Linked DNA regions of Ovis aries. The protein of the gene in region 1 interacts with the protein of each later gene in a biochemical or structural test. Links are inferred from orthologs where the notes say so. Each region holds a gene or a part of one and is shown on either strand. Other genes may lie near its edges.

The links. The genes of interacting proteins can lie anywhere in the genome.
Region 2: the proteins of MATK (region 1) and SIRPA form a complex in vitro, tested with the Homo sapiens proteins (3 studies listed by BioGRID, with this or other methods). The link is inferred for Ovis aries from reciprocal best matches to the Homo sapiens genes MATK and SIRPA.

Annotation. Positions count from the first base shown.
Region 1 is NC_056058.1:17,991,774-17,996,000, reverse strand, and holds the start of MATK (megakaryocyte-associated tyrosine-protein kinase), read right to left. Parts: upstream 2,813-4,227; 5' UTR 2,686-2,812; intron 2,249-2,685; 5' UTR 2,154-2,248; coding exon 2,148-2,153; intron 1,543-2,147; exon of another isoform or gene 1,461-1,542; coding exon 1,401-1,460; intron 1,023-1,400; coding exon 909-1,022; intron 822-908; coding exon 706-821; intron 618-705; coding exon 398-617; intron 1-397.
Region 2 is NC_056066.1:52,923,733-52,927,247, forward strand, and holds part of SIRPA (tyrosine-protein phosphatase non-receptor type substrate 1), read right to left. Parts: coding exon 3,263-3,515; intron 1,493-3,262; coding exon 1,379-1,492; intron 1-1,378. UniProt on the Homo sapiens protein: Immunoglobulin-like cell surface receptor for CD47. Acts as docking protein and induces translocation of PTPN6, PTPN11 and other binding partners from the cytosol to the plasma membrane.

The sequences.
Region 1 (4,227 bases):
AGGGGGTGGGGCAGGGCAGAGGCAGCCGTGAGTGTGACCCCCCACATCCGGGGAGCCCCTGCCTCCCATCCCCTTCCCAGGGGGTTCTCCAGAGGGGTGGGCGGGCGCTGAAGAGGAAGAGAGGGGGTGGGTTCCCACAGGACTCTCTAGGCTGGTTTCCATGGAAACAGGAGGATGGGGGTGTGTGTCTTGGGACTGGTGTCAAACTGGAGGTTCCTGGGTATCCCTGGAGATGGGTCGGAGTGGGGGAACTGTGGTCGGTGGTCCAGGGACCAGCGCCTCCTTGTCCACACTGGGGAGCATGAGCCTCTGGGGGGGTCCCATGTCTCCCCAGCTGCTGGGACAGGCTGAAGCCTGGCCGCCAACATCTCTACACCGGAGGCCTGGGCGGCCGCACCTCCACCATAGCCATGAGGTTGCAGAAGCAGGCCTCCTCGTCGATGGTCAGGCGGCCGTCGCGGTGCAGCACGCGGTAGTGGATGACGTCGCTGCCGAAGCTCACGCACAGCACGTAGTCACCCGGGTGCCGCGCGGACTCCCGCACCAAGAACAGCCCGTCCTCGGGCGGCTGCAGCTGCTGCACCGCCTCCTGGCCCGAGATCTTCCCGTGGAACCACCTGCGGCCGGTGGAAGGGCGGGCTGGGTGGGACTGGCCGGGCCCTGCTGACCCCACCCACGTCCCAGGGGCGCTTCCCCACGACATACGGCATGAGGCTGAGCTTGGGGTCCGCCGAGAGGGCCTCGCGCTCCCGCAGCGCCCCAGCCGCCAGCAGCCCCTCCTGCCCGCTGGCGTGGTGCTTGGCACGGTACCAGCTCTTGTTCTGCCGGGAGGGAGCCAGGGGTCAGTGGGAGGAGATGTTTCCTGGAGGAGCACCCCCCTCTCTCCAAGCACATTCCCCCCTACTCACTTCGCAGGCCTCAAGGATGGTGACCACGTCGCCCTTGCAGAAGGCCAGCTCCCCGGGTTTGGGGCGCGTGTGCTCACACTTGGTGATGCACTGGGTGCCAGGGGCCCAGCGCCTCTGGGGGGTAGTGGCGAGAGTGGGAAAAGGGTCATGAGAGAGATGGTGGAGGTGGGGGGTGGGGCCCAAAAGAGAGAGAAAAACTGTATTGAGGCAGAGACCCAGAACAGACCACAGGAGAAAGGAGATGGGGGTGGGGGGTGCGCAGAGCACCCAGTAGGGGAAACGGAGTCACAAACAGAGGGACCCCCCGGGGCAGAAGATGGGAGGAAAGAGTGGGAAAAAACACCAAGTGACCGAAAAAGACCTGCGGACACTGCCTAAGGGGACACGGGTCAGATGGCCCCCCACCCCCACCCTCCAGCCCCGTGGAGCTGAGGCCCTGTGGACGGAGGAGAGGAGGGGCCTAGGCCCAGGCACCCAGTTGGGAGTACTCACTGTCGGCATCCTGGCTGAGATGGGTGAGGGGTGCCAGGCGTGGAGGAAGCGAGGGCTTCCCTGGGGAGGGGCAGAGACCAGCTGGAGAGCTCAAGATTCAAGCCAGGCTGGGGGCCCAGGGGCCATGACTATAGCTTCCAGCCTGGACCAGGTGGAGGCGACAGTCGGGCGGGCTCCCCCAAACCCCCAGGGGTTGTGGGGGGCCCAAGGGCTGGATCCCCAAGCCCCTTAGGGGAGGTGGTCTTTCCCTGGGAGAGTTCCTTAGCATGGAGCCTGGCTGCGCCGTCATCCCCAAAGGGAAACAGAGGCACAGGGCAGGCTCAGAGTGAGTGGCCAGGGGCTGGCTCAGGCCCCAGCAGCCCACACTGGGGGCGCTTGGAGCCACTAAACGGAGCCTGGTTCTTCCTCTTTTCTGGTAAAGTAGGCAGGGGTACATGAGGAAACAGAGGATGATTCAAGGTCATTCCCAAGAATCTCTGACCCTGGCGGGGGTGAGGCCCGGCAGTGCCGCCCTGCTGGGCTCCTCTGGCTGCCGGCTGGGTCTCTGATCTGACTCCCCCCCACACCGCTCCCCCCTACTCCCCAACCGAGGACAGAGGACAGAAACAAAGTCCCGCACAGTTGCTGGGGTGGGGGCATTTCTGTCCTCTGCTTTCCCCACGGATCCCACCAGGTGGCGAGAGCAGTGGGACAGGTGGGGAGGAGTGAGTCTCCACCCTAGAAATCCCCAGCCCTCTGTGTACTCACACGCATACTGATCCATGTACACACGAGAACACACAGAAACACACAGGGCTTGGACACAGGTGGACACAGGCACGCGGGTATGCAAGCAAAAGCAGTTTCTCCTAGAGACAGTTGTGCACACACGTCTCACGTGTGAACACACGCACAGACATTCGGAAACGTGTGTGCCGCCCCCCCCAACCCACACTTGAACACCTGGGCGCCACACGCTGGGCCACCCGGGCACGCAGGGCTACACGCAGGGCCGCGCACACGCAGCGCAGAGACACGCGCGCACATCCCTCCACGTGGACGCGCGGATACACACACCCAGGGGTTGCAGACGCGCATACCCGCACCCACAAAAATACCACCCCACCCGACTCCTGGGCGCATCCAACCATACCCGCCCCAGCCGCGTACCGGCCGCACGCCCCGGACGCGGGCGCTCGCACACTGGCCCCTCCCTCGTTCGCCCAGCATCCCCCTACCCGCTGGCCCTTGGGGCCCCCCCCACTGTCCTACGGTCTTTCCCCACTATCCCCTCCGGCGCCCTCACCTGTTCAGGGGTCGCCCCTGGGCCGCACTCCGTGTCCGCCCCCAGGAGGGCCCCCGCGCGCCGGCTGCGCACCCCGAGGCGGCCCCGGCTGCACAACTTGGAGCAAGTTGCTGCGTTTCCTCATTTTGGGGGGGAAGGGCTGGAATCGGGGTGGGGGGAGCGGGAGGCGCGGCAGCTTGAGCGGCCCCCGCGGGTCCTAGCGCCGGCCGCACTGCGGTCTGCTCCGCGCGCCGCCGCCACCGGCGGCCCCTCCCCGCCCCGCCTCCGGGGCCCCCGGCGCCTCCCGCGCGGCGCTGTCGAGATCCACGCCACTTCCCGGCCTGGCGCCGCGGGGCGCGCAACCCGCGCGTTCCGGGAATCCACGCCTCCCGGAGAGAGGACAGCGCTGGCACAGGGAGGGGAAGGAGAGAGCTTCCCGTCTGGGCAGGTAAGTAAGTCTCAGAGTCCAGACAACTCAGTGGACCCTTCTGACTCCAACGCCCTTAGCCAACTATAACAAGAGTCTTATTTCAGTACCTGGCCCTAGGAAAGAGCTGTTGGTGCCTGGCACAAAGAAAGCCCTCAAAATGTCAACCACCATGAATATTATCATCATCCTTGAAATTAAGGGAGAATTGAGACTAAAGGGGAAAACATCACCTGGAACTGGAAGCCTCCTGGCAGAGCAACACTGGGCCTCCCCAAGGCCAACCCAGCTCGAGCCTCGGTTTCCTCCTCTGTAGGGTCAGGCAGCACCAGCTTCCAGCTCAGAAGGGAGTTCCGTGAGCATCTGAAGGCCTGGGGGCCCAGCCCTTGCCTTTCCTCTGTGAGCTCACTTCAAATACTTTCTAATGGATGAATGAATGAGTCTGTGAGGACAAGGATGAAGCTGACCTTGGGAGGGTGATGCACCAAGATGCCCAGAATTTAATTTTCTGGTACCCCCAAAGTCTAAGTGTCTGTGCACCAAGATGTCGTGTGATTTCTGGGAATAGAGACCAATGAGAAGAATCAGGGGCTTCCCCAGTGGCTCAGAGGATAAATAATCTGCCTGCAAAGCGGGAGACACAGGAGAAGTGGGTTCAATACCTGGGTCAGGAAGATTCCCTGGAGGAAGAAATAGCAACCCCCTCCAGTATTCTTGCCTGAAAAATCCCACGGACAGAGGAGCCTGATGGGCTACAGTTCATGGGGTGGCAAAGAGTTGGATACGACGAGCAGCTAAGTGCAAGACAAGAATTAAAGATATTCAATATCGTGCAATATTATGCACCAAAAACTAGGAAACTGTGTATAAGAAAATGCTAAAGTCTCTAGTTGTCAGAAACAACCACCACTTACCAGAATGTGATAGAAAACACACTGTGTGATCCCATACAGGTTGTACAGGAAGCAGCGTGTCCAAGGGGAACAGTCCAGCAGGGGCCCCTTGAACCTGCAAAAGGTTATTCCCAGTGAAGGAAACAGGCAGGAGGGGAGCAAGAGAGGGGGCGTCTTTCTCTGTGGTGGTGTAATGTACTAATACTGGCAGTGTTTGCCGGGAGGTTTCCTGCTCATCCGGCT
Region 2 (3,515 bases), on another chromosome or scaffold:
TGCAGATCACCTGGAAGAACCCTTTGTAGATTCTAGAGATGCCAGCCCTCTCAGATGGGAGTTTGAGGTTCAGGCAGTGTCTCAGGGCTGAGTGCTCCAGGCCGTCCAGCGGGGAGGGAAACTTGGGGGCCAGAGGAGAGGGGGTGCAGGAGGGGTGTGTGGCTGAGGCACATAAAGCCCGTCAAGCTCTGCCTGGAGGTCCGGGTGCAGAAATGCAGCTCGGGACGGCATTTGGCACTCTGCCGGCTGCGGCACGTGGTGCTGGGTCACAAACAGCATTTTTAAGAGGATATAGTACAAAATATGACAAAAAGGAAAATATCAGACTTCCGATTTTATAGATGGGGTGTGTGTGCATCGGGTTGAGACATGAAATGTATTTCTATCACTTGTAGCCAAAAAGGTTTCAGAAACACTGGCTTAAAATAGTCTTCAAGAGTGGGAAAGAGGACATGCATTTTTTTAGGTCTGACAGTGTGTCAGCGCTGTTGTTGCCCATGAGCTTATTTGTTTCATAACTATCTTCCGAGGCAGGCACTGCCACGTCCATTTTACAGGTGAGGAAACTGAGGCTTATGGAGGCCAAACTGATTGTTTAGAGCATAAAACAAGGATCTGGAATTCTGGTTCATCTGACTCCAAAGTCAAGAGGCCCAGCGACAGAAACAACTACACAGACACACACATACACACACATACACACACATACACACACATACACACACATGCACGCATGAGTGCAAACAGGTCACAATGTCCTGGATTGAAACTTCTACCCTCCTGCTGCAGTCAAAGGCCACACACCTTGCCACTATGAGGGGAGCTTTCCAGGGAGGTGGTTCATGCTTCCGGTCTCACGTACAATACTCATTACAGGAGCTAACATCGAGAACTTGCTATTGTGCCGGGCATCTTGCTACTGCTGTACCCACAGTTACTCATTTAATTCTCCCAACAGCCTGGGAGGTAGGTGGTGGTGTTCTCCCCACTCCCTTCCAGCCTCCTGCCAGCGGGCTGGGCACGTAATCTGGACAGGTAAGGGGAAAGCAGAAGTCTGCCAGGGGCTCCTGGGAAGTACCGTTTCCTCCTTGAGACCCTTTTGCCACCCTGGCATCTCCCGGATTCCCATATCAGCAGTGGTTCTGTGAGACTGCGAGGCCTGGAGCAGTGATGCTGCAGGGTAGGGGGCCCACCCAGATTTCAGCCTGTGGAGGGGCTGCACAGCCAAGGCAATGGTACCCCTGGACTTCTTGTTGCTGGGAGTAACTGGACGTCCTTATGATTTAAACTACGTGTAGCCCAAAGCAGAGACCCCTCCCTGTCTGGGACGGACAGCCCAGGGGTAAACTCTCAGGGAGGAACCAGGGGACCCACCCACCTTTCTTCTGTCTGATTCGGAGGAGGTAGAGGGCTGCGATCAGCAGGGCCACCAGCAAGGCACACACCACGCCCACCACGATGAAGATGCCGTTCCAGTTGTTGCCATTCTGGCCTAGGACCACACACAATAGAGGTTTCATGTAGGAAAATTTAAAACAAAGAAAAGGAAAAGCCACTTCCCCTTTTCACCACGAGGCAGGCATCATTAACTGAGAATATCTGGCTCAGATGTTTCGGCCCCGTGGGCATGTCCATGGATCTGCACACACTTCCCCTTGTGGGTTACCCACAGGCAGCGCAAAATCTGTGCCGAGGTGCCAGGAGGGAAACATTGCTGTCAGCCTTGGAGGAACCCCGGCTGCAGGGTGTGGGTGGAATTGCCCTCCTGAGGAATAGACATACGTTCCTCCTCACCTGAGTGAGCCATGGAGCGGCCACCTGGGGACACAGGTCTGCCTGGATCTCCTAATGGCAGCTGGGGCATCACACACCACAGAGGGAAGGGTTGTGAGGAGGGTGACCTGCCACTGGACATGCAGAGCCCCGAGGCAGTGTGCTGGTCCATGCCTGGGCCTAGGCCCAGGAGGGCTGAGCCCAGGACACCTGACATGGAGACAGTGCAGGGGCTGGCACCAGGCACAGGGAGGGGATCCCGCAGGAGGACAGTGTGCAGTCAGGAGCAGGGCTCTGAGCCACAGAAATGCAGGTTCAAATCAGTGCCCTCACTGAGCGACCTTGAGCAGGTCATTTAAATCCCCTCATGCACTGGCTTCCTCTTACGTTATTGAGGCCAATAGTCATCTCTACTTCATTGAATAGCTCTGAGGAACACCTCACTAATCAACCAACTACTCACTCTTTCACCCTTTCTAAAAGTATTTCTTGGGTGTCAACTACCTACCCAGTCCTGAAGCCACAATGCTGAGACAGCCATGGTCCCAGCAGCTGAGACTCAAAGCTGAGAGGTCACCAGGGTCACCTCCTTCAACACTGCCAGGGGCAGGTGGAGCAGCCTAGAGACAGGCACCGACTTGTTCAAGCTCCCCAGTGAGACGGACAGCCAGAGTGGATCCACACATCCTGTCTCCCAGGGCAGGGCTCATGGTGGCATCAAAGGGCAACTTGACAGACCCCAAGGCTTCTTTAGAGCTGTCCCTTTCAGGATGCACGAAGGAAGGAAACGGCCTCTATTCTAATCCATTGAAAGGGTTTGCTATGTACAAGGGTACAGGTGATGGAACATTCCACAGTGGCACCAAAATGCCAACCAGGCACTGTCATTCTGAAGAAAGGGAGATATGCCGACAACCAGTTGGACGGGGGCTGAGACAATGACACCCTGACACCTTTCATTCTCCCAGGAGGGTGGCAGCATCACCATCATCTAGGCACTTGGGCCTAGCAACATTCCCTGGGAATCGTCCCATAGAAATAGCTGCGCATGTAACAGAATGTGTACAAGGGCAGTTAGTGCAGCACTGATCACACTTGAGATAAGCCGCAGACGCCTGGAGCCCCCAACCCGATTCCAGTGGGGCAGCCAGGGAGAGCAGGCTCAGTTCACAAAGAGCAAGGTGGAGGAGGTGGGCGGGCAGAGAATGGTGAACACAGAAGCTGTTAGTAGAAGAAAGTGAGAGTACACCACGAGCAGGACAATCCCTCTCCTTCCCTGCTTTCTTTCTTTCAAGGATATTTATGTCAAAAGATCTATAAAGAATATGCCACACTCTTACCAGTGGTCACTCTTGGAGGTGGGAATTCACTTTAAAGTTCTATTTTATATCTATTGACTTCTACATTGTTCTATAAAAAGTATGAATTACTACCTTTAATATTTAAAAAAAAAGATTAACAGCTGGGTCAGTTGCAGTGGTGACCTCACCAGGGGTTTGACCTGTGTCCTGGTCCTTCTGGGGAGCAGAGACTTCCAGGGTATGGTTTTTGGAGACCGCCGGCTGCCCGTCATGCTCCACCTGGCAGGTGAGCACCACAGCCTCCCTGTGGGCAGAGGAGTTCACCAGGAGCCAGCTCGTCTGGTTAAAGGTCCCGTCCTTGTTCTCTACGAGGATTGAGGCCGCTTCTGTTCGGGACATGTTTCCGTTCTCCAGCCAGGTCAGCTGTAGAGGCCGGGGGTA